Linked DNA regions of Oryctolagus cuniculus. The protein of the gene in region 1 interacts with the protein of each later gene in a biochemical or structural test. Links are inferred from orthologs where the notes say so. Each region holds a gene or a part of one and is shown in the gene's direction. Other genes may lie near its edges.

The links.
Region 2: the proteins of CDC42 (region 1) and TRIP10 form a complex in vitro, tested with the Homo sapiens proteins (3 studies listed by BioGRID and IntAct). The link is inferred for Oryctolagus cuniculus from reciprocal best matches to the Homo sapiens genes CDC42 and TRIP10.
Region 3: the proteins of CDC42 (region 1) and CDC42EP3 form a complex in vitro, tested with the Homo sapiens proteins (2 studies listed by BioGRID). The link is inferred for Oryctolagus cuniculus from reciprocal best matches to the Homo sapiens genes CDC42 and CDC42EP3.
Region 4: the proteins of CDC42 (region 1) and NCF2 form a complex in vitro, tested with the Homo sapiens proteins (2 studies listed by BioGRID and IntAct). The link is inferred for Oryctolagus cuniculus from reciprocal best matches to the Homo sapiens genes CDC42 and NCF2.
Region 5: the proteins of CDC42 (region 1) and BNIP2 form a complex in vitro, tested with the Homo sapiens proteins (2 studies listed by BioGRID, with this or other methods). The link is inferred for Oryctolagus cuniculus from reciprocal best matches to the Homo sapiens genes CDC42 and BNIP2.

Annotation. Positions count from the first base shown.
Region 1 is NC_091438.1:148,692,289-148,695,788, reverse strand, and holds part of CDC42 (cell division control protein 42 homolog), read left to right. Parts: intron 1-2,166; coding exon 2,167-2,276; intron 2,277-2,399; coding exon 2,400-2,597; intron 2,598-3,500. UniProt on the Homo sapiens protein: Plasma membrane-associated small GTPase which cycles between an active GTP-bound and an inactive GDP-bound state. In active state binds to a variety of effector proteins to regulate cellular responses. Involved in epithelial cell polarization processes.
Region 2 is NC_091447.1:60,901,275-60,905,349, forward strand, and holds the start of TRIP10 (cdc42-interacting protein 4), read left to right. Parts: upstream 1-1,275; 5' UTR 1,276-1,290; coding exon 1,291-1,647; exon of another isoform or gene 1,648-1,810; intron 1,811-1,917; exon of another isoform or gene 1,918-2,480; intron 2,481-2,696; exon of another isoform or gene 2,697-2,797; coding exon of another isoform or gene 2,798-2,821; intron 2,822-3,894; coding exon 3,895-4,010; intron 4,011-4,075. Other genes in the region: protein GPR108, read right to left, coding at 362-481, 1,048-1,167. UniProt on the Homo sapiens protein: Required for translocation of GLUT4 to the plasma membrane in response to insulin signaling. Required to coordinate membrane tubulation with reorganization of the actin cytoskeleton during endocytosis.
Region 3 is NC_091433.1:165,017,009-165,021,292, forward strand, and holds the start of CDC42EP3 (cdc42 effector protein 3), read left to right. Parts: upstream 1-1,484; 5' UTR 1,485-1,507; intron 1,508-4,284.
Region 4 is NC_091444.1:1,499,472-1,503,588, reverse strand, and holds the start of NCF2 (neutrophil cytosol factor 2), read left to right. Parts: upstream 1-1,317; 5' UTR 1,318-1,341; coding exon 1,342-1,515; intron 1,516-2,591; coding exon 2,592-2,674; intron 2,675-4,117. UniProt on the Homo sapiens protein: Subunit of the phagocyte NADPH oxidase complex that mediates the transfer of electrons from cytosolic NADPH to O2 to produce the superoxide anion (O2(-)).
Region 5 is NC_091443.1:82,563,320-82,567,558, reverse strand, and holds the start of BNIP2 (BCL2/adenovirus E1B 19 kDa protein-interacting protein 2), read left to right. Parts: upstream 1-1,439; 5' UTR 1,440-1,667; intron 1,668-4,239.

The DNA of each region.
Region 1 (3,500 bases):
TATTAATCCCTTATCAGAGAGATGATAAGCAAGTCTGTAAAAACATTCTGTAGACTACCTTTTTACTACATTGATACTCTGGAACATACATTTTTAAATTTTTGTGAAGTCTTAAGTTGTCTGTTTTATCTTTGGTTACCTGTGTTACACTGGAAACAAATCATTGCTAAATCCAGTAACATGAACTTTTCCCTTATGTTTTCTGATAGTTTTTTTAGTTTTAGTTCTTACATTTAGGTATTTGATCCTTTTTTAAAAAAAGATTTATTTACTTATTTGAGAGGCAGTATTGGAGAGAGAGAGAGAGAGAGATCGGTCTTCCATTCGCTGGTTCACTCCCCAGATGGCTGCAACGGCCGGAGCTGCGCCCATCCGAAGCCAGGAGCTTCTTCCAGGTCTCCCACGTGGATGCAGGGGCCCAAGGATTTGGGCCATCTTCCACTGCTTTCCCAGGCCATAGCAGAGAGCTGGATCAGAAGTGGAGCAACTGAGACTTGAACTGGTGCCCATTTGGGATGCCAGCACTGCAGGTGATGGCTTAACCTGCTGAGCCACAGCGCTGGCCCCTTGATCCATTTTTGAGTTAATTTTTATGTATAGTGTTAGGTAAGGGTTCAACTTTTTTTTTTTTTTTTTTTGCATTTGGCTATTCAGCTTTCCCAGCACTATTTTTTGAAAAGATTGTCCTTTCATCACTGAATGGTCTTTGCTCCTTTGTCACATGTAATGTGGTGGTATATGTGAGGATTTGTTCATAGGTTCCATGCTCTACTTTGGTCTGTATGACCATCAAGTCCAAAAAGTTTCATGGGCTTCAAATATTGTGTGGAAAATTATGTGTTATGAAGAAATATGTGAGTTAAAATTTTTAGAGCATAATAAACTTTAGTTTCATTTTTTTCACAAACTTTTTGAAGTAGACCCTTGTATGTCTACCTTATGCCAGCACCACACTGTTTTGACTGCTGTAGCCTTATATAGTAGGTTTTGAAATCAGGAAGTGTGGGTCCCTCTGTTTTTTTTTTTAAAGATTGTTTTAACTGGCACAATGTTGTGGCATAGTGGGTTAAGCTACTTCTTGGTATACATATATACATATACATATATATGCATATATACATATATCTGAGTGCTGGTTTGAGTCTTGGCTGTTCCACTTCCAATCCATCTCCCTGCTAAACTACCTGGAAAGCATCAGATGATGGCTGAAGTGCTTGAGCCATGTAGGAAACCTGGATGGAGTTGCTGGATTTAGCCTGGCCAGCCCTGGCTGTTGTGGGCATCAGGGGAGTGAACCAGAGGATAGAAGATCTCTCTGTGTCCCTCTCTGTACTCTGTTTTTCAAATAAATTAAAACATCTGTATTTAAAAAAGATTGTTTTTACTACTTCGGAGTCCTTGAGATTCCATGTGAATTCTAGAATGAGTTTTTTGTTTCTGCAAAAAAAAAAAAAAAGGGATTTTGATAGGGTTTGGATTAAATCTGTAAGGTGCTTTAAGTGGTTAACAATGTTAAGCCTTCTAGTCCATGAACATTTCCCCTTTTTTTATGTCATTAGTTTCTTTTAGCAATGTTTTATAATTTTCTTTGTATTTCAGATGTTATACCCCCTTGGTTAATTCCTATGTATTTTATTTCTTTTGAGTATCCATTGATTTTTGCCATAGATTTTTTTTTTCCTCCTGGGCTCTGCTTCGGATATTGGTCTGAAATGCACGCAGAAACTAAACATGTAGCCTGCTTTGGTGGTCATGATGTACAATAACTTTGATAGCAGTTCCCTTTAGATGGCTACACTGTGATTGTTTCTTAGCTGGATCTGACTAGGATGGATTTTTAACTGTTTCTGTAGCAGTTTATTGTTGTGAACTATTGTTAGGTCACTAACGGGCACAAAAATTGAAAACTGCAAACTGGTAATGAAAGCAAATAATTTAATAGGAAGTTGGTTGCTGTCTGAGTTCTTGATAATAAAAGGAATTAGCCAAGTGAGAATATTGCCCAAATATTATATTACACAGCCAAATGTTTCATCAGATAAGTTGCTTTCTGGCTAATTATCTGAATGCTATTAAGTTGCATACTTGATCAGTTGACTGATTTGTGGTTTTAATACTGTGAGAACACCAAGAGTTAGTTGCTGACTTCTCCAACTTTTTTTCTAGGGCAAGAGGATTATGATAGATTACGGCCGCTGAGTTATCCACAAACAGATGTATTTTTAGTGTGTTTTTCAGTGGTTTCTCCATCCTCATTTGAAAATGTGAAAGAAAAGGTAAGTTGATCAGATACCATTCACTGAGAAAGGCTATCACAGAATTGCTATTGACCTGTTGCAGATAGCTTTAGAGACTTGTGGATTAATGAAGGTGTATTTTTCAAAATACATTTTCTTTAGTGGGTGCCTGAGATAACTCACCATTGTCCAAAGACTCCTTTCTTGCTTGTCGGGACCCAAATTGATCTCAGAGATGACCCCTCTACTATTGAGAAACTTGCCAAGAACAAACAGAAGCCTATCACTCCAGAGACGGCTGAAAAGCTGGCCCGTGATCTGAAGGCTGTCAAGTATGTGGAGTGTTCTGCGCTCACACAGGTAAGGACTGTGTGAAACTCCATGTGTGTTTATGGTTGAGTTATTTCTTAGAGCATTAAGATACAGGGATGCTTTCTAATGGGTTATTTTTAATGTGGTCAGCAGTGATCAAAACTACCCAGAAAGAATATGACCAACTTTGTGTTGTATGTTCTTCTGCCAGAACTGTCTGTATTTATGGAAAACATTATTGATCTCTAAAACTCTTGTGTGAAGCGTTCCCAGGGTTGTGTTCAAAGCAAAACACAAGATTTATAAGAGAGGTTCAGATAAGCACAATCCAGCAAGAGGGGATATGAATGATTTTTTTTCCCTAAAGACCTAAAATTTTATTTAAATATGTCTGATTTTTTTTCTTGCCAGTCTGACACTTGATGCTATGCTGTTTCTGGGGTAGTTAATTGGAACAAGGAATGAATGACAATAACTGAGTTTCATGTCAAAGAAGGCTGCCTTGGCTGTTTCTGCCACAGTCTTCAGGCCTGCTTTATAGAATGTCTGTTCCTGTGTTTTTGGAGGTCTTCCTTCCTCATGTGGATTCTCTGTCCTCCTGTTCATTTCCAAATGATGCAATTGATGGGAAACTCCGATTCTGAGGGTAGGGAGCAGTGCTAGACTAATTGGAGTGAGAATTATACGGACTTAGCCTGGTGTCATCATCTTCACCTTTATGGTAGTGCTGCTTCCCTCCTTTGAGCACCCTTCTGGGGCAAAGGGAAGAATTAGCATAGAGTGCTTACTTCTCACTAGTTCTGGTGCTTTGAAGTTTGAACAATAAGCATTCATGCCTAATTAAAATAAGATAGGGTTGATTGGTATGTGTGTATATGTGTTTTTGTTTTTAAAAATTTATTTATTTGAAAGGCCGAATTAGAGAGACAGACAGACAGATCTTCATCTGCT
Region 2 (4,075 bases), on another chromosome or scaffold:
GTGTGCATGTTGGTGTGTGCATGTGGCTTGGTGGGCTGTGCTGGTGCGTGTTGGTGTGTGTGCGTGTCTTGGGGGCTGTGCTGGTGTGTGTGTGTATTGGCGTATGTACGTGACTTGGGGCTGTGTTGGCGTATATGTGCGTGTTGGTGTGTGTATGTGCCTTGGGGGCTGTGTTGGCATGTGTACGTGACTTGGGGGCTGTGTTAGCGTGTGTGTGCATACTGGTGTGTGTATGTGGCTTGGTGGGCTGTGCTGGTGCGTGTTGGCGTGTGTGCGTGCCTTGGGGGCTGTGTTGGCGTGTGTGCATGCCAGGCGTGCTCTGGAGCGTGGCACCTGCTTCCTCCTCGGGCAAGCTCCTCACCAGCGGGGACCTCTCTCCCGTCTCCTCCAGGCCCAGCCGCAGGAGGCTCAGCTCCACCTCCAGGGAGCCGTTGGTGTAGAAGCCGAAGCTGTTCAGCTGGATGTCCGCTCGCTTCTCCCCCTGCCGGAGACCAGGGAGGCAGCTCAGACTTCCGCTTCCCGCCTGCCACGGGGCTCTGGGCCCCAGTGCTTAGACAGCCCGGGAGCGAGTCAGGAGAGGCCGTGCCGGGGGACCGAGGACAGCGTGGCCCTGGATGCCCTGAGCGCGGACCTGAGCGTCCAGGAGGACAATCGGGGGGCGCCTGGACGCCCCCCGCTGCGGAACGAGCCCGGGACCCCAGGCAGCGTCCAGGGACCCCCACCCCCTCGGTCCTCGAGCGGCGCCAGGGCTCCCCAGCGTCTCCAAAGCGGCCACAGGAATTTAAAGGGCTAAGAGCCGGGGGAGGGGGGGGTCCCAGGAGATGGCGCCCCCCGCCCCCCACCATCCCGGCGGGGCCGGCCAGGCAGCTCCATCCGCAGGGAGAGAGGGGGATCTCGGGACGGGACCACTCGCCCGGCAGTGGGGGGCGCCGGGCCGCTCCATCCCGCAGAAGGTGCGGGGGAGGTCGGACGAGACCACTTAAGCCGGGGGCTTCTCTGGGACAGCCTCGCGCCCCCCGCCCCCGACCGTCCCGCGGCGGGCCTCACCGTCAGCGCCAGCCGGTGGATGCGCCCGGAGCAGCTGCCCCACAGCAGCAGCAGCAGGAGCCCCTGCCCCCACTCCGCGGGGCTCCCGCGGCCGAGCCCCCTCCTCTCGCTCCCTGCCATCTCTGGAGCTGCCGCCTCCCCTGACACCGCCTCTGACGCCCCCAGGCCCGCCTCCGGGGGAGCCAATCGCCGCACGGTGGGGCCAGGCTCTCCGGACTTTCCAGCCCGTTGAACCAATCATCGATGGCCTCTTCTCAAACCCGCGCCTACGTGACACCAGACGGACAGCACCAGTTCCGAATGGAAGACGTGATACCACGTAGCCCCGCCCCCACGCTCACCAATCACCAGAAAGATCGTCCCGGATATAGCATGATAAGCAGTCCGCCTAACCAATTAGAGCGCAGCTGGCATCCTGCTCTTGAAGCGGAATTCCTCCACCTAACTCTTAACGGTCTAAGACTACACTACCCAGAATGCAGCCAGGAACAGACGAGGGCCACCGAGCACCCAGAAACTACATTTCCCAGCACGCCCCAAGGTCGGACTTCCGCTTCTCACCCTGTGGGACGTGGCTCCCGGCCAGAGCTCTGGCTCTTGGTAAACACACGCAGTCTGTTGAGGCCTGTCCCGTTCTCCTAATCTTCCTGGTCCACGGAGGTTACATCGCGACCCGAGGATGACCTGTGACCTATGACCTCCGCCTCCGCCTCCGCACGAGGACACTGGAGGCTCACTCCGGATCCCCGACGGTTTCCCCTAGCTGCAGCCGGACCCCGAGTTCAGCCTAAAACCTTGGCTCTTCCCCCGCCCCGCCCCGCCCCGCCCAGCCTTTGGGGCTGAGACCCCCGCCCCAACCGTGGTGCTGACCTGGGCTGGGTGTCCCACCAGAGCCGAGCCCCGGTCTCACACGGAGCCGCGAAACCAACCCACCGGGTGCAGCCGCCGGCAGGTGTCCCTGCGCCCTCCGGTCCCTCTGGGGCCCAGACCCCACCCCTGCAGCTCCAGAGAAGGCAGGAGCTGGGGGCCGGGGGCCCGCAGGGCCGCTCCCTTTTATCCTGGCGCCTCGAGGGGACTTACGAGATGCGGACCCTTCTAGGGGGGGGAGGGCGCGGGCGTCCGGGACTCTCGGGGGCCTCGGTGGGCGAAGCTGGACAGTGGGCAGGTGCAGGCAGACTCGGGCCGGAGGGAAAAGCCTGGGCCCCGCGTCCCAAGGACAGCCCGTCCTCGGGTTCCCCTGGGGAGGGAAGGCAGGATGCGGTGGGGGCGCTAATGGACCTGGCAGGATCGAAGTCCTCCATCCGCCCTGCGGCCGGAGGGACCTGACCATTAGTGGGACGAACGTCCACGCCTGGAGCCGGGCCGGGGTGACCTCGGGTTCTGCCTGCAGCACCGTGCAGGGACGACTTCTCGGGCTTGGGGCTTTTCCTGTCCGGGTCCTTTAAGGAACGATCGAAAGGAAAGGCCCGTCTGGGGCGGGGGAGGGGCGTGGTGGGTGGAGAGGGGCCCTCGGGGATTTGAAAATGGGCGGGGGTCCTTTTAAGAGGGGGCGTGGCGCCCTTTGGGCCCCGCCTCCCCGGGCCCCGCCCGCGGTCTCCGCGCAGGGCAGGGGGCGGGGAAAAGCGAGCGGGGGCGTGTCCCAGCCGGGTGGGCGTGTCCGGGGCGGGCGGGGCGGGGTCGGCGCGCCGCCCCGGGCCGAGTCTCGGGGCGGAGGGTGGCGGGCGGCGGCGCCGGCGGCGGCGGGAGCAGCATGGATTGGGGCACCGAGTTGTGGGTGAGTCCGATCGGCGCCTCTCCAAGTTCCGTCTGCTCGGGTTCGGACTCCCCCTCCCCTTTTGTCCCCAGCGGACCCCAGCGGGGGCTGCGGGGGGGCCTCCGCGCTTCCCCTCGCACCGAGCCGAGGGTCTCTGGGCGCCACCGACGCAACGAGTTTCTGGGGGGCGTCACGGAACCCCCGCGGCGGGGGGCGAAAACCCACCTCGCAGGGCGGCCCGGGGAAACTGAGGCACGGGGCCGCGAGCGCGACGGGCCGGAGTCCCCAGGCCAGGCCGGGGCGGCCGGGCGAGGTCACCTATTTTGGGCGTCCCGGCGCGGCCCGCGGCTTATCTTACGGCCCCTGGGTCCCTGCCCGCCGCCCGCCTGTCCGGCTGGCCGTCCCGTGTCCCACGTGGGCCCCGCCAGGGCCGCCCACCTCCCAGGAGCGCCCGGGAGGCTGAGGGCGCCCTCGGAGGGGGAGGGGGCTGCGAGCCCGGGCCCCAGCGATCTTCCAACCCTGCCCTCCCCGGGCCCGGGAAGCCCCAGGGTCGCTCCAGGTCCGGGCCGGACCTAAGACCCCTCCCCTCTCCGGGAGCGGCGAGTGCCTGCGTCTCCGCCCGCACCCTGGTCCCGCACCGTCGGCTCTTCTCCGGGAGCCCGTGGGGAGATGGAGGCGCGCGTGGGGTGCGGCGGGGGGCGCTCGGGGCCTGCCCCCGGGCCCTGCGGGCCCCCAGCTAGCGGCCAGGGATCCCTGCCCTGACTCACGCCGGGCAGGCCGGATTTTCCGGAATCTGGGGGGGATTAGGGGAGCCGGGCGCGCGCGGGGCGGGGGGGTGGACGGTTGTGCAGGGGAGTGGCCTCGCCCCGCTCCACGCCCCTCTCGGCCGCTCGGAGACGGAGACCCCGTCGTCCGGCTGGGGCCCTTTCCCGGGAAGGGGAGGGGGTTCCCGCCAGTTTCCTGCCGGCCCCCGCGCCACTCCGGGGCGGTGCCTGGAAGCCCCTCCTCCGCCGAGCGCGGGGGCCCTGGAGCCGGGCGCGCCGCGAAGTCCCTAGGTCGCGACCCGGGCCCTGCCGTCCCCTCCCCCCCGCCAGGATCAGTTCGAGGTCCTGGAACGCCACACGCAGTGGGGGCTGGACTTGCTGGACCGATACGTAAAGTTCGTCAAGGAGCGCGCCGAGGTGGAGCAGGCGTACGCCAAGCAGCTGCGGTGAGACCCGGAGGGCTGGAGACCCCGTGGCCCGGCCGGGCCGGGTAGGGGGCGGCCGCGGCTCA
Region 3 (4,284 bases), on another chromosome or scaffold:
CCAAATGCTCCTATTTTTATTCCACCTCCATGCGGTTAATATCCGGCTGATTCGTTCATCCCAAATTCTGCATCTGATACTCGTCAGGTATCCTCAGTGTCTGGCTATGCCCATTCCCTCTCATGTGGTTGCTGGAAATGTCAGAGCATTATCTCCATGCCTGGCTTCCAAAGCAGGTGCCCACCCCGCCTCTTTGTCCAGCGTTCTCTGTGACAAGGGTGGAGTGGAGACCATGCCATGTGTGGCGCAGCAGAAAGGTTGGGGACTTGGTTTTCAGGGGCAAAGCTTCAGGGAGCAGCGGGTGCTGTCTGCACGGTTTTGGAAGGGATGGCCTGTGCAGAGAGATTCAACTTCCTTTCTGTGGGCCCAGAGGGGTGGAACTAGGACCAGAGGAATAGGTGGGCTCATATGAGATGGATTTCCTCATTTCAAAGTGGCCAGGAAAAAAAGAGAACTTTTCTTCACCAAAGTGGTGGATTTACAATGTTCACTACTAATTTTTGGAGACAGGAAAGTGAATTAATAAAGGTACTCCATAGTTGGATCCAAAGAGCACAGAGAGCCCTTTTTAAGTGTTTGGTACTATATACCAGCACTCAGCACTCGGCACAATGCCTGGTATATATGAGAAGTACCTAGTGATTATTTGCTCAATGAGTGTACAGTTAATTGGATTAAAAATAAACTGACAGGGGCCAGCACTGTGGTGCAGCAGGTTAATGCCCTGGCCTGAAATGCCAACATCCCATATGGACACCGGTTCTAGTCCCGGCTGCAGAACCAGGATGCCAGCCAGCTCCGTCTGACCCAGGGCCTGTGCTCCTGCCACAACATCACTGACAAGGGAGTGCAACATGTGGCAGTCCCTGCTTAGCCAGTTTCACTTTCTGTGGTTTCAGTTACCTGCTGTTGATCAAGGCATGAAAATATGCAATGGAAACCCCCAGAAAGAAAGAATTCCAAAGTTGAAATTGCACACTGCTCTGGGCAGCATGATCAATTCTCCTGCCTTGCTGTTTTGCTCTACCTGGGGGTGTGAATCATCCTGTCAGGCAATGTAGTCACCATGTATATGCTACCTGCCCCTTAGTCATCTAGTAGCCACCTTGATAAATATCAAATTTATTACTGCAATATCATAGGACTTATGTTCAAATAACCTGTAATTTACTTAATAATGACTCCAAGAGTAGTGATGCTGGCAGCTTTATTACAGCATATTGTTATTATTTCTCTATGTTTTATTAGGTATTGTCATTTATTGTCCCTAATTTATAAATTAAGATGCACCATGTGTTTGTGTAGGAAAAAACCTAGTCTACATAGGGTTCAGTACTATCTGTGTTTCAGTTGGGTCTTGGAATGTACTCAGCTTGCATAAGGGATGTCAGCTGTGTTTTTCTTTTTCAAGGTTATTTGCACTTATTGCTTCTTCGGCAAAGATGCAAAGATTCCAATCCAGCCTTGACCTGAAGCAAATTTTACACCCTGAAACTGTCAGCCACAGGTAAGAAAACTGAAGGAGCCAGGGGAGAGGTGCCTTCAGAGCAGGAGCACTGTGGGCCTGGTTTCTAAGCAGCTCTGTTGGAGATCTGAACCCATTTCCACCCACATCAGAAGGTGGGTTTGCATCATTTGGATAGCTTTGTGTGTCTGTGATGCAAGTCCAAAATTACTGCAAATGCTACTTTACAAATTAATAGTAATTCCCCTGTGGTTGAAAGATGGGCTGTCGTCCAGACCCATGGCTCAGAGGGCCACTTACTAGCAGTGTGGTTGTGGCCAGCAGCACAGGTGCCGCATGGGCAGTGGAATCCGGGTCCCAGCTGCCTTGAAGAGTTGTCGTAGAACCCAGTGAAGAGCAGCACAGGGAGATGCTTATCTGTAAAGCCTGGTTGTATGAGTAAAGTTAGTCGTCATGATTTGTTCAATACTTTTCTATGAGAATTAAAACACCTTTGGCTTGAAATTAGAAAAAAATCATAAGTTGAATAGACTGGATAATCTTGCATTCTTCTTTAAAAAGACTTTATATGCAATATTATATGTTAGCATTACATATAATGTTCATGTGAAAATGGGAATTTCACACTGTGTCTCAGTACTTCTACCTGAGCTTGAAGTCAGCATCCAGAAGTAAGAATTGGCTCCTTCATCCATTGGTTCTAACTAGATTGTGCATCTTAAAATGGTCAACCCCTTGTTCTAGCAACTAGAAAAAGAATATCTACAGCAGCTTCCACTTATTCTTGGGTCGTCGATGCTGTGTGGGATCTTTATGTTTTGCTTATGAATGTGGCTCCAGAATTACACCAAGTTCAACCCAATTAGAGCTCCCACCACCCAGAAGGCAAGGAGGAGAGAGGAATAGAGAAACGTGTTGAGGCCAATCCTATATTCTCCTTCGTCCCAATAAGCAATACAGTACCTAAGTGCAAGTTTCCCTGAGGTTAGTTGGAACAAGTTTCAGTGAGATTAGTTGGAACCTGTGGAGCTGGGGGTGGGGGAGGGGTGCAAATCTTTGAAGACTGGGCAGAATGGGGCAGAGTGGGGCACCTCATTGGAATATTTGGAGAGTGGGAGAGGTGGCCTTGGTGGCCTGGGAGCACCACTGGGGTCACTGGGGCTCAGCAAAGCACTGACGGGGAAGTGACAGCTTTTGGCTTCATAATCATTTCACAGAGACATGGGCTGAGAAGCTAAGCTGGTTAACTCCTGTTTCATAATTATCTGGCAGTGGTTTGAGAACCAATAAACTCAAATAGTTCCACCTGCTCATAAAGCAAACAGTACAGCTGGTCAACATCAACTGCCTAAGATCTTTAGACTACATAATTAATTTAAAGATATTCAATGGGCCAGCACTGTGGCATAGAAGGTTAAGCCTCCGCCTTCAGTGCCAGCATCCAGTATGGGTGCCTGTTTGAGACCTGGCTGCTCCACTTCCAATTCAGCCCCCTGCTAATGTGCCTGGGATAGCAGTGGAGGATGGCCCAAGTCCTGGGGCTCCTGCACCCACATGGGAGACCCGGAAGCTACTCCTGGCTCCTAGTTTTATCTTAGGCCAACCCCAGCTGTTGCAGTCATTGGGGAGTAAACCAGTGCATGGAAGACCTCTCCCTCTCCCCTCTCCCCTCTCCCCTCCCCCTCCTCTTCCCTCCCCCTCCTCTTCCCTCCCCCTCCTCTCCTCTCCCCTCCCCCTCCTCTCCCTTCTCCCCTCCCCTCTCCCCTCTCCCTTCTCCCCTCCTCTCCCCTCTCCTCTCCCCTCCTCTCCCCTCTCCCCTTCCCCTCCCCCTACTCTCCCTTCTCCCCTCCTCTCCCCTCTCCCCTCCTCTCCCTTCTCCCCTCCTCTCACCTCTCCCCTCCTCTCACCTGTCCCCTCCTCTCCCTTCTCCCCTCTCCCCTCCTCTCCCCTCTCCCCTCTTCTCCCCTCTCCCCTCCTCTCACCTCTCCCCTCCTCTCCCTTCTCCCCTCTTCCCTCCTCTCACCTCTCCCCTCCTCTCCCTTCTCCCCTCTCCCCTCCTCTCCCTTCTTCCCTCTCCCCTCCTCTCCCTTCTCCCCTCCTCTCCCCTCTCCCCTCTCCCTCTCTCTCTCCCCTTCTATCTGTATTTCTGTCTTTCAAATAAATAAATAAATATTTTTAATAAAGATACTGAAACCAGCATAAAAAATTAAATATAATAAGCTCTGGCCACTAAGTCTCAAGATATGTCCATTTGCTCTGTTGTCATAGAGCTACCATTTATATTGAATTTCTACTTCTTTAATATGAAGGGTACATTGTAGGCACTCAGAAATGCCCAGACAGCATCTTTTACTTTGAAATTCTAACTTATTTTTGGCCATAATATTTTGTTTTCTCATTATGCATGAAAACGGTGACTAGCTTTGGGATTATTTAAGGTTGCTGTTTTGGGGACCCCTTTGACACTCAGCACTAGTCACATCCTTGGTGAAATGTTGACTGAATGACTTAGCAATGTCAATGACCCTGTCATGAATACCTTGTTTGTCTGTTGGTCTATGACGTAATGGAGGTTTAAGGAGAGTCTCTGATTGGGAGTCCCACTTCCTGTTTCTGGGTCTTGACAGCCAAGAAATGCCCCGGAGGTAAAGCAGGACAATGGACGCAGAAAGGGCTGACACCAAGGTGCAGAAATCTTGTCTTCTCTCCAACTAGGAGCATCCGCAGAGCTGAGCAAGGCGATCAGAAGCCCCGCAGCCCACCTCGCAGAGGCTGGCACTTCAGGGGCCAGAAGCAGGAGGACTTTGTGTCTGAGGGCT
Region 4 (4,117 bases), on another chromosome or scaffold:
CGGGGCTCACCCAGGGCACGGTGAGGTGCTGGCTCCAGGCAGGGCCCCCCGAGGGGGTGGGAGATGGGTAGGAGCAGCCCGGCAGGGCCAGGGGAGAGAGCCTGGCTGAGCGAGCCGGGCGGCGGCTGTGGCGTCCTCAGAACCACACGGAGGCCCTGAAGGGCCGGGATCGGGCGTGATGAGAACCTCACTGCTCGAGCCGTGAGGACCATGGACAAGGCGCCCACTGCGGGCAGGCAGGGCGGGGCTGGGCGGCCCAGGAGATGCAGTCAGGCGGGCAGCCTCGCTGACGGAGGGCGTGGAGGGGTGGGTGGACCGGGGCTGAGGGCCACGATGGACACACGAAGGCCCAGGAGACACGGTCAGGTGCAGAGGAGGCGGGGTCAGGGCCGAGGCCTGTGGGCAGCTGGACCCTGCAAGGTGTGCGGATGCTCACACGCATGTCCCCGGCCCTCCCTCACCCGCCGCCCGGCACGGCCTGCGGAGCGCACGCCCCGGTTTCTTAGGCTCTTGGGAGAATTGCAGTGTGAATGTGTGTGTTCCTTCCGGTAGGAAGCAGGGGCTGAGCCCTAACAGCGAGCAGGGGGGCTCTCTAGGTCACGCCGGCTGTCCCCAGGACCCCGCGGGGGGCTCTCTAGGTCACGCCGGCTGTCCCCAGGACCCCGCGGGGGGCTCTCTAGGTCACGCTGGCTGTCCCCAGGACCCCGTGGTCCCTCAGCAAGGCAAGGAGTCTCAGCCTCCGTGCAGCCCGCAGCCCGTCAGCTCACAAATGGGAGAAATTGCCGTTCGTGGCCGACCTGGATCCCACGCGGAGGCGCTTGTGGGCAGTCGCTCCCGCCCCGGACTTCCTGAGTGCTCATCCGAGTGACCTCGGGTGCAGATGGACCCCGGGAGATGTGTCTGTCGCTGGTGTGGCTCAAGATGAAACCAACAGGACACGGCCGTCGCAGGGTCAGGAGCAGGAGAGCCGGGGACCGGGAGAGGCCGGGAGGAGCCAGGCGCCCGCCCCGCAGCCTCCCAAGCCCAGGATGCAATGGAGCTGGGGAAGCCACCCCTGGCACGGCTGCCCTGGGCCCCACAGAGGCTGCAGCCAGAGGAGGAGGCGGAGACTCAGCGGAGCGTTTTGGGGAACTGACCCATGACAACGGCACCTGCTGTACTTCCCCTGCCCGCCCCCCGCCCGCCCCCGCCGCCCTCTCGTTCCTTCTCTCTCACAGTTGGCTGAAAGGTGGGGCCACTTCCGCTGCCTTTGCAACACCAGAGCCTTCTTAAGGGGAGCCGGGCCCGTCCTGCCCCCACCGCCCGTCCCTGGCCGCTCCCGACACCTGCTTGCACCTGACCATGTCCCTGGCGGAGGCCATCAGCCTCTGGAATGAGGGGGTGCTGGCGGCTGACCGGGAGGACTGGAGGGGGGCCCTGGCCGCCCTCTGCGCAGTCCAGGACCCGCACGCCCGGATCTGCTTCAACGTGGGCTGCGTGCACGCCATCCTGGGAGACCTGCCTGAGGCAGAGAAGGTGAGTGAGGGCTCTTCCCACCTCCTCAGTGTCCGCAGCCTCTGCCCTCGGGCTGGTGGCCACGGAACCCAAATCTCCAGGGAGCTTCCGCATTAGCCCAGAGCCCCCGCCCAGCTGGCCTGGGCAGGGCCTGCGCCACAGCTCCCAAAATTCCCCAGCTGCTCGGGAGGGGCGTGGGCAGCCCAGGCCGGGAGCCGTGACCAGGGCCAGGCTGTCCCTCTTCCCCCTCTTCTCAGCCGTGATGGCCCTGACCCACGGGGCACTGGTTCGCTCCGTCTCCGTCTCTGTCCCCGTCCCGGCCACGAGGTGCCCCCAGGGCAGCCCGGCCCTCTGGCTCACCAAGAGCTGGCTGCATCTCCAGTGCGCGCCTAGCTAACCGTGACTGACAGGGCGTCAGCCAAGGGCAGGGCTGGGGATGGGGTCTGAGCACCTTCTAAAGTACTTTTGCCTCTCGCGTACCCCAGTGGGGGCCAGTGGGGTCAGGGCCAGGGAGACGCCCCCGGGTCCGGCAGCAGGAGCGCTCCAGGCAAACGGCGGCGCCGCTCCTCCCTGCACCTTGGGTCTCCAAGGGCATAAACACCGCAGCGATTGCGTGAGACACGGAGCAGGAAGGCGCCGCCCCGTCTCGGAAGTCAGCTGTCACCTTTGCCTGCTGCTGCGGATCCTCGCAAGGCCCTGAGCGCAGCCAGGGCCACACCCACCGCAGGCAGAGCCGAGGGTCAGCGGGCAAGACCCCGGCGGAGGGCGCGGCCGGGGCAGGCCCTGGAGGGTGTGGGTGCCGGGCGTCCCCGCGCGTTCTGTGTCTGGATTGTTCCCTGCCTCGGCTGCCTAAGCCCCATGCTGCCAGCCTTCCGGGTAAATTCTTATTTATTACTTTAATTTTCATAATGAACCATTGTATCCTGATCCAGTGAACTTGAAAGGCAACACGCCCCTCATGCAGAGGAGAAAACTAGGGCTCAGCTAGAGAGTAGGGAACTTGCCCCATGCCACGCCACGAGGAAGTGACAGGCGCGCTGACCCGTGCCCTGCCCAACGCTGCCCGCGGCCTCCGACCTCCTCCACCCTCTCCGCAGGCCTTTACCAAGAGCATCAGCAAGGACAGGCACCTGGCCGTGGCCTACTTCCAGCGGGGGATGCTGCACCACCGCACGGAGAGGTGAGGGCCCCGGGCACTGGGAACTGTGCAACAGCTCAGCGCGGGAGGCAGCGGGAGGGCAGGCCTGAGCTGCGCCGGGGCACAAGGCAGCCGCCACTCGCAGTGGCCTGGCGGCCACAGGGACCTGACGGTCAGCCAGCACGGCACCCACCGTGCGCTGCGGGACGAGGCGTGCCGTGAAACCGCATCGGCCTGGCTTCATCCCTGGTTACGTCCGTCTGGTGAAGTAAAATCCAGCCGCAAACGAGAGAATAGAGCAACACATCAGGTAGATGTGCTGGACCGCGGCCGGCAGTGCTCACGACGCCCGCATCCGGGTTCAGTGCGCAGCTCAGCTCCGGCCTGCCTGCAAGCTGCGGGGCAGAAGTGGCGGCTCAAGGAACTGGCATCGCGTCCCTGCCATCCACATGGGCGCCCTGGGCTGGACTCCCAGCTCTGGCGTCAGCCCTGGCCCAGCCTAACCTGCAGGAAGTACCTTGGCAGATACGAGCTCTCTGTCACTCCGCCTCTCTGCCACACGAGTAAATGATTTTTTAAAAAATATTCTATGTATTTATTTGAAAGCCAGAAATACAGAGAGAGAGAGAGAGGAGAAAGAGAGAGAGAGTCTTCCATCTGCTGGTTCACTCCCCAAATGGCCGTGACAGCCAGGAGCCAGGAGCTTCCTCCAGGTCTCCCACGGGGGAACTTTGGCCATCTTCTGTTTTCCCAGGCCACAGCAGAGAGCTGGATCGGAAGTGGTGCAGCCGGGACTAGAACCGGCACCCATGTGGGAGGAAGGCACTGCAGGCGGCGGCTTTACCTGCTACACCGCAGCACCGGCCCCTACCTGCATTTTTGATGTGTTTACAGTGTTCACATGAAATAATTAGTAAAAAGCTGGCGCCGTGGCTCACTTGGCTAATCCTCTGCCTGCGGCGCCGGCACACCAGGTTCTAGTCCCGGTTGGGGCGCCGGATTCTGTCCCGGTGGCCCCTGTTCCAGTCCAGCTCTCTGCTGTGGCCAGGGAGTGCAGTGGAGGATGGCCCAAGTGCTTGGGCCCTGCACCCTATGGGAGACCAGGAGGAAACACCTGGCTCCTGGCTTCGGATCGGCGCAGCTTTAGCCGTAGCAGCCATTTAGGGAGCAGAACCAACGGAAGGAAGACCTTTCTCTCTGTCTCTCACTGTCTAACTCTGCCTGTCAAAAAAAGAAGAAGGAGGAGAAGGAGAAGAAAAGAAAGAAAGAAAGAAAGAAAGAAAGAAAGAAAGAAAGAAAGAAAGAAAGAAAGAAAGAAAGAAAGAAAGAAAGAAAGCAAGAAAGAAAGAAAGAAAGAAAGAGAGAGAGAAAGAAAAGAAAGAGATAATTAGTAAAAAGAGAAGCATTCACAGACTTAAAGTTAATCCCAACCTCATCAACAACCGGATGACGATATTCTAAGCCTTAATTGCTGATCTTTGGTGC
Region 5 (4,239 bases), on another chromosome or scaffold:
TGTAATAAAAATATTTTCATTTGGAGTTCATAGACCTTTTTTCATTTCATTTATATTTTATTAAAATATGATTCACAATTGGAAAAAAAATTTTTTTGACAGGCAGAGTGACAGAGAGAGAGAGAGGGAAAGGTCTTCCTTTTTTCCATTGGTTCACCCCACAATGGCTGCTGCGGCTGGTGCACCGCGCTGATCCAATGGCAGGAGCCAGGTGCTTCTCCTGGTCTCCCATGCAGGTGCAGGGTCCAAGCACTTGGGCCATCCTCCACTGCCTTCCCGGGCCACAGCAGAGAGCTGGACAGGAAGAGGAGCGACCGGGACAGAATCCAGCACCCCACTGGGACTAGAACTTGGTGTGCACCACTGGGACTAGAACCTGGTGTGCTGGTGCCGCAGGTGGAGGATTAGCCAAGTGAGCCACGGCACCGGCCAGAAATTTTTAAAATGATAATAAACTGATGGCACTCCAGAGATAGTTTGAGAAACACTGCTCTAAAGCTGTTCAAAATAAAGAGGATTTGGGATCAACTTGGTGGCCAAACAGGTTAAGCCTGTTCAGGTCCCAGCTGCTCCACTTCCCATCCAGCTTCCTGCTAAGGTGCCTGGGCAAGCAATGGGGGATGGTGGTAGTGCCTGGGCCTGGGGCACCTAAGTGGAAGACCCGGATGGAGTTCCTGGCCTCTGGCCTTGGGTCTGGCCCAGCCCCAGTCCCAGCCCCAGCCTCAGCACTTGGGCCATTTGGAGAGTGAACCAGGGATGGAAGATCGATGTTTCTCCCTCTCTTTCTAACTCTACCATTCAATTAAAGAAGTAAATCTTTACAGAGAAAGTTTTGCCGAACGCTTATTTGTTTATTTATTTGGAAAGTCAAAGTTAACAGAGACAAGGAGAGAGAGAACATCTTCCATCCGCTGGCAATAGTCCGCTGGAGCCAGGAGCTTCATCCAGGCCCCCAAGTGGGTGCAGGGGCTCAAGCACTTGGGCCATCTTCTACTGCTTTCCCAGGTGCATTAGCAGGGAGCTGGATCAGAAGTGGAGCAGCTGGGACTCGAACCTGCGATCAGAACCACAACAGCAGCCCCTAAATGAGACTGCCTTGAGATCTACATGCCTGAAAGTAAGCTTCGCATATATTTCCTCCCCTCGGGTCATTTACTTTATACAACACAGGCACTGTAGCGATAGTAAAAACAAGCAGAAGAAAAATAGCAATGACCCTGAGTTCGCAGGCGTCCTCACCGCAGGGAAAAGCGGAAAAAAGAGAGTAGAGACCCAAAAGCCAAGGGCTGCTCCAGTTGCCGCAAGTGCGCACGCGCAGGTATTAGCCCGGGACAGCGGAGGAGGGAGCAAAGCTGTGGGTTTGACTAGGAAGCCACGCCCCCACGCCCCGGCCGCGCCCCCCCACGCCCCGGCCCCGCCCCCGCCTCCCGCAGAGCCTAGAAAGGGTCAGGATGCTGTCACTTCCGCCCGGGCTGCTTTTTGCGTCCGGGTCAACTGCTGCCGCTGCAGCTGCCGCTGGGGCTGCGGCCGGGGACTAGGCTGGGTTGTGCACCGCTGACCGAGAGGAGCGGGCTCCTCTCGGCGCCGTCTTCTGCGACCTGGCAGTCAGCACCACGTCGCCGGCCTGGAGGGTAGAAGAGGACGAGGAGGCCAAGGCTTCCTCCGGGGTGAGTGCGGCCTGGGAGGGCTCAGCACGGCGAGTCCGGGCGCCGGGAACTGGGCTGGGGGCGCACGTCTGAAGGGGCGCTTGCCCAAGGCCGGCTGCTGCGGAGCGGAGGCCCAGGGCGTTTTCCGTTGTTCGGGGTGCGCTCGAACCTGCTTGGGAGGCGCCTTCCGGCTCCCCGCCCGGCTCAGGTCCCCGCCCTTGGCTCGGCTCCTTGTGTGCGTTTGCCAGCCTTGCACCCCCAGCTCCGTCGCTTTTCCGTTTTTGTTGCTTGTGCCGGGGATGGAACCTTCCCCCGTGTCTGCTCCTCCCTCCACCCGGGGTCTGGGCGCGGTGACGGGCCGCGTTGGTTCCGTACTGGTGGTCTGAGTCTGTCCTGTTGCAGAACAAAGGAAACTTGGACTTGTGTGGCGTGCCGCGTACCTTCGGGGGTTAGGCACGGAAACAGCAAACAGGGCTTTATAGACGGCCCCGGGCGAGCTCGGCCAAATACCGGGTGTGTGCGTGAAAAGCTGCGTCCCTCCGTGTTTACAGACACGGCCTGTTAAGTACCTGGCGAGAAAGGGTTTGATGTCCTGGGTGCGTCCGCTGCCCCTGGAGAGCTAAGCTACTTGATCAACCCGTGTTAAATCAGAAATGTGTTTCGATCTTTAATACGTTGCTTTGAAACTGACCTCGTCTGTCTGGGGGGGCTCTGCGCAGACAGCTTTTCTGTGTTCATTAAGGTAGTCCCAGTGCCTCCCAGTTGGTTGAGTGAAGTGAGTGCATTATAGTGGTGCTTTTTCCATCCTTGCCTTTTTTTTTTTTTTTTAAACGGGGGAGTCTAACTTAAGTACTGCTTGATTTTTTACTTTCAGTAAAATGTCTCCTTTTTCTGATGTTTTATGAGAGCTTCTGCAGTTGTAGAAGAAATTTTGTAATTTGTAAATGGCTACATTTCGCCAGAATTTTAATGGAAGTTACCTAGTGAAGTTAACGTTCTGACTAGTAGTTTCTGAGTCATCTTGCACGTTTTCTCCTTAGCTCTTATTTTGTAAACTGCGTTCCTGGTCTTGATCATCTTTCCTCCTGCAGCCTGAAGTTGGGCTTAGAAAGTATGACATATCTTCTGCAAACATGAACTTGAACTAGGTTGTCATCAAGCAAGGAAGGTTCTTGTGACTTGCAGGCATTACGGAACCTTTGAAACTAAGTGTACCAGATCCGGCCATGAGACTTACCGTGTATAAAGCTGCCAGTGGAGGAGCTCCGGGATCCAGGATGTGGTGTCATTTGCTCACATAAGACAGAACAGGGATAATAATACCAGTGTCGGCGCCTCACAAAAGTTGTCGGCTGGAGCAGATGAGATGATGGTTGTACAAGTGTCAGTAAGTGGTGAAAAGCACTGTTTTGGACAGGGCACTGTTCATTCTAACTGGATTAATGCTTGAGCGATAAGGATAAGAGCTATCTAGAAAAAAAAAAAAAAAGACACAGACCCAGATCCAGTATATTAACCTTGACTGACATTGGATCAAAAGGTGTCTTGTTAAGAGTACTTCATATAAAGCAAAAATACTATGATATGGTGATAGTAATATCACACAGTTGTTAAGCTCTTTTTAACGGTCTCTAGTATGTTCTGCATACTGATCACTTTTTGTTAAGATTTCTTTATTTATTTGAATGGCAGAGTCAGAGAGGGGAGAGAGATCTTGCATCCACTTGTTCACTCCCCAGATGGCCGCAACAGCTGGGGCTGGGCCAGGAGCCTGGAACTCCATGTAGGTCTCCCATGTGGGTGGCAGAGGCCTAAACACTTGAGCCATCTTCTGGTGCTTTCCTGGGCCCATTAGCAGGGAGCTGGATCAAAAGCTAGAACTCAGGGGATGCCAGTGGTAGCTTAACACACTATGCCACAACAGCGGCCCCTGCATACTGATATTTTGAGTTAACATTTCTCATAGAGATCTCATTTATTTTTTTTTAAAGATTTATTTACTTATTTGAAAGGCAGAGTTACAGTTAGGCAAAGGCAGAGAGAGAGAGACAGGTCTTCCATCCACTGGTTCACTCTCCAGATGGCCGCACTGGCCAGAGCTGGTCCGATCCAAAACCAGGAGCCGGGAGCTTCTTCCGGGTCTCCCATGAGGGTGCAGGGACTCAAGGACTTGGGCCATCTTCTGCTGCTTTCCCAGGCCATAGCAGAGAGCTGGATCAGAAGTGGAGCCAGGTCTCGAACTGGCAGCGATATGTGTGCCAGCACTGCAGGCGGCAGTTTTACCTGCTGTGCCACAGCCCCAGCCTTTCATTTTATTCTTAAAAACTTATATGATAGGGCCACGCAGTGACACAGTAGGTTAATCCTCTGCCTGTGGCGCTGGCATCCCATATGGGCGCCGGTTCTAGTCCTGGATGCTCCTCTTCCAATCCAGCTCTCTGCTATGGCCTGGGAAAGCAGAAGATGACCCAGATGTTTGGACCCCTGCACCCACGTGGGAGACTGGGAAGAAACACCTGGCTCCTGGCTTCAGATCAGTGCAGCGCACTGGCCGTAGACCTTTCTCTCTGTCTCTCTCTCTCTCTCACTATCT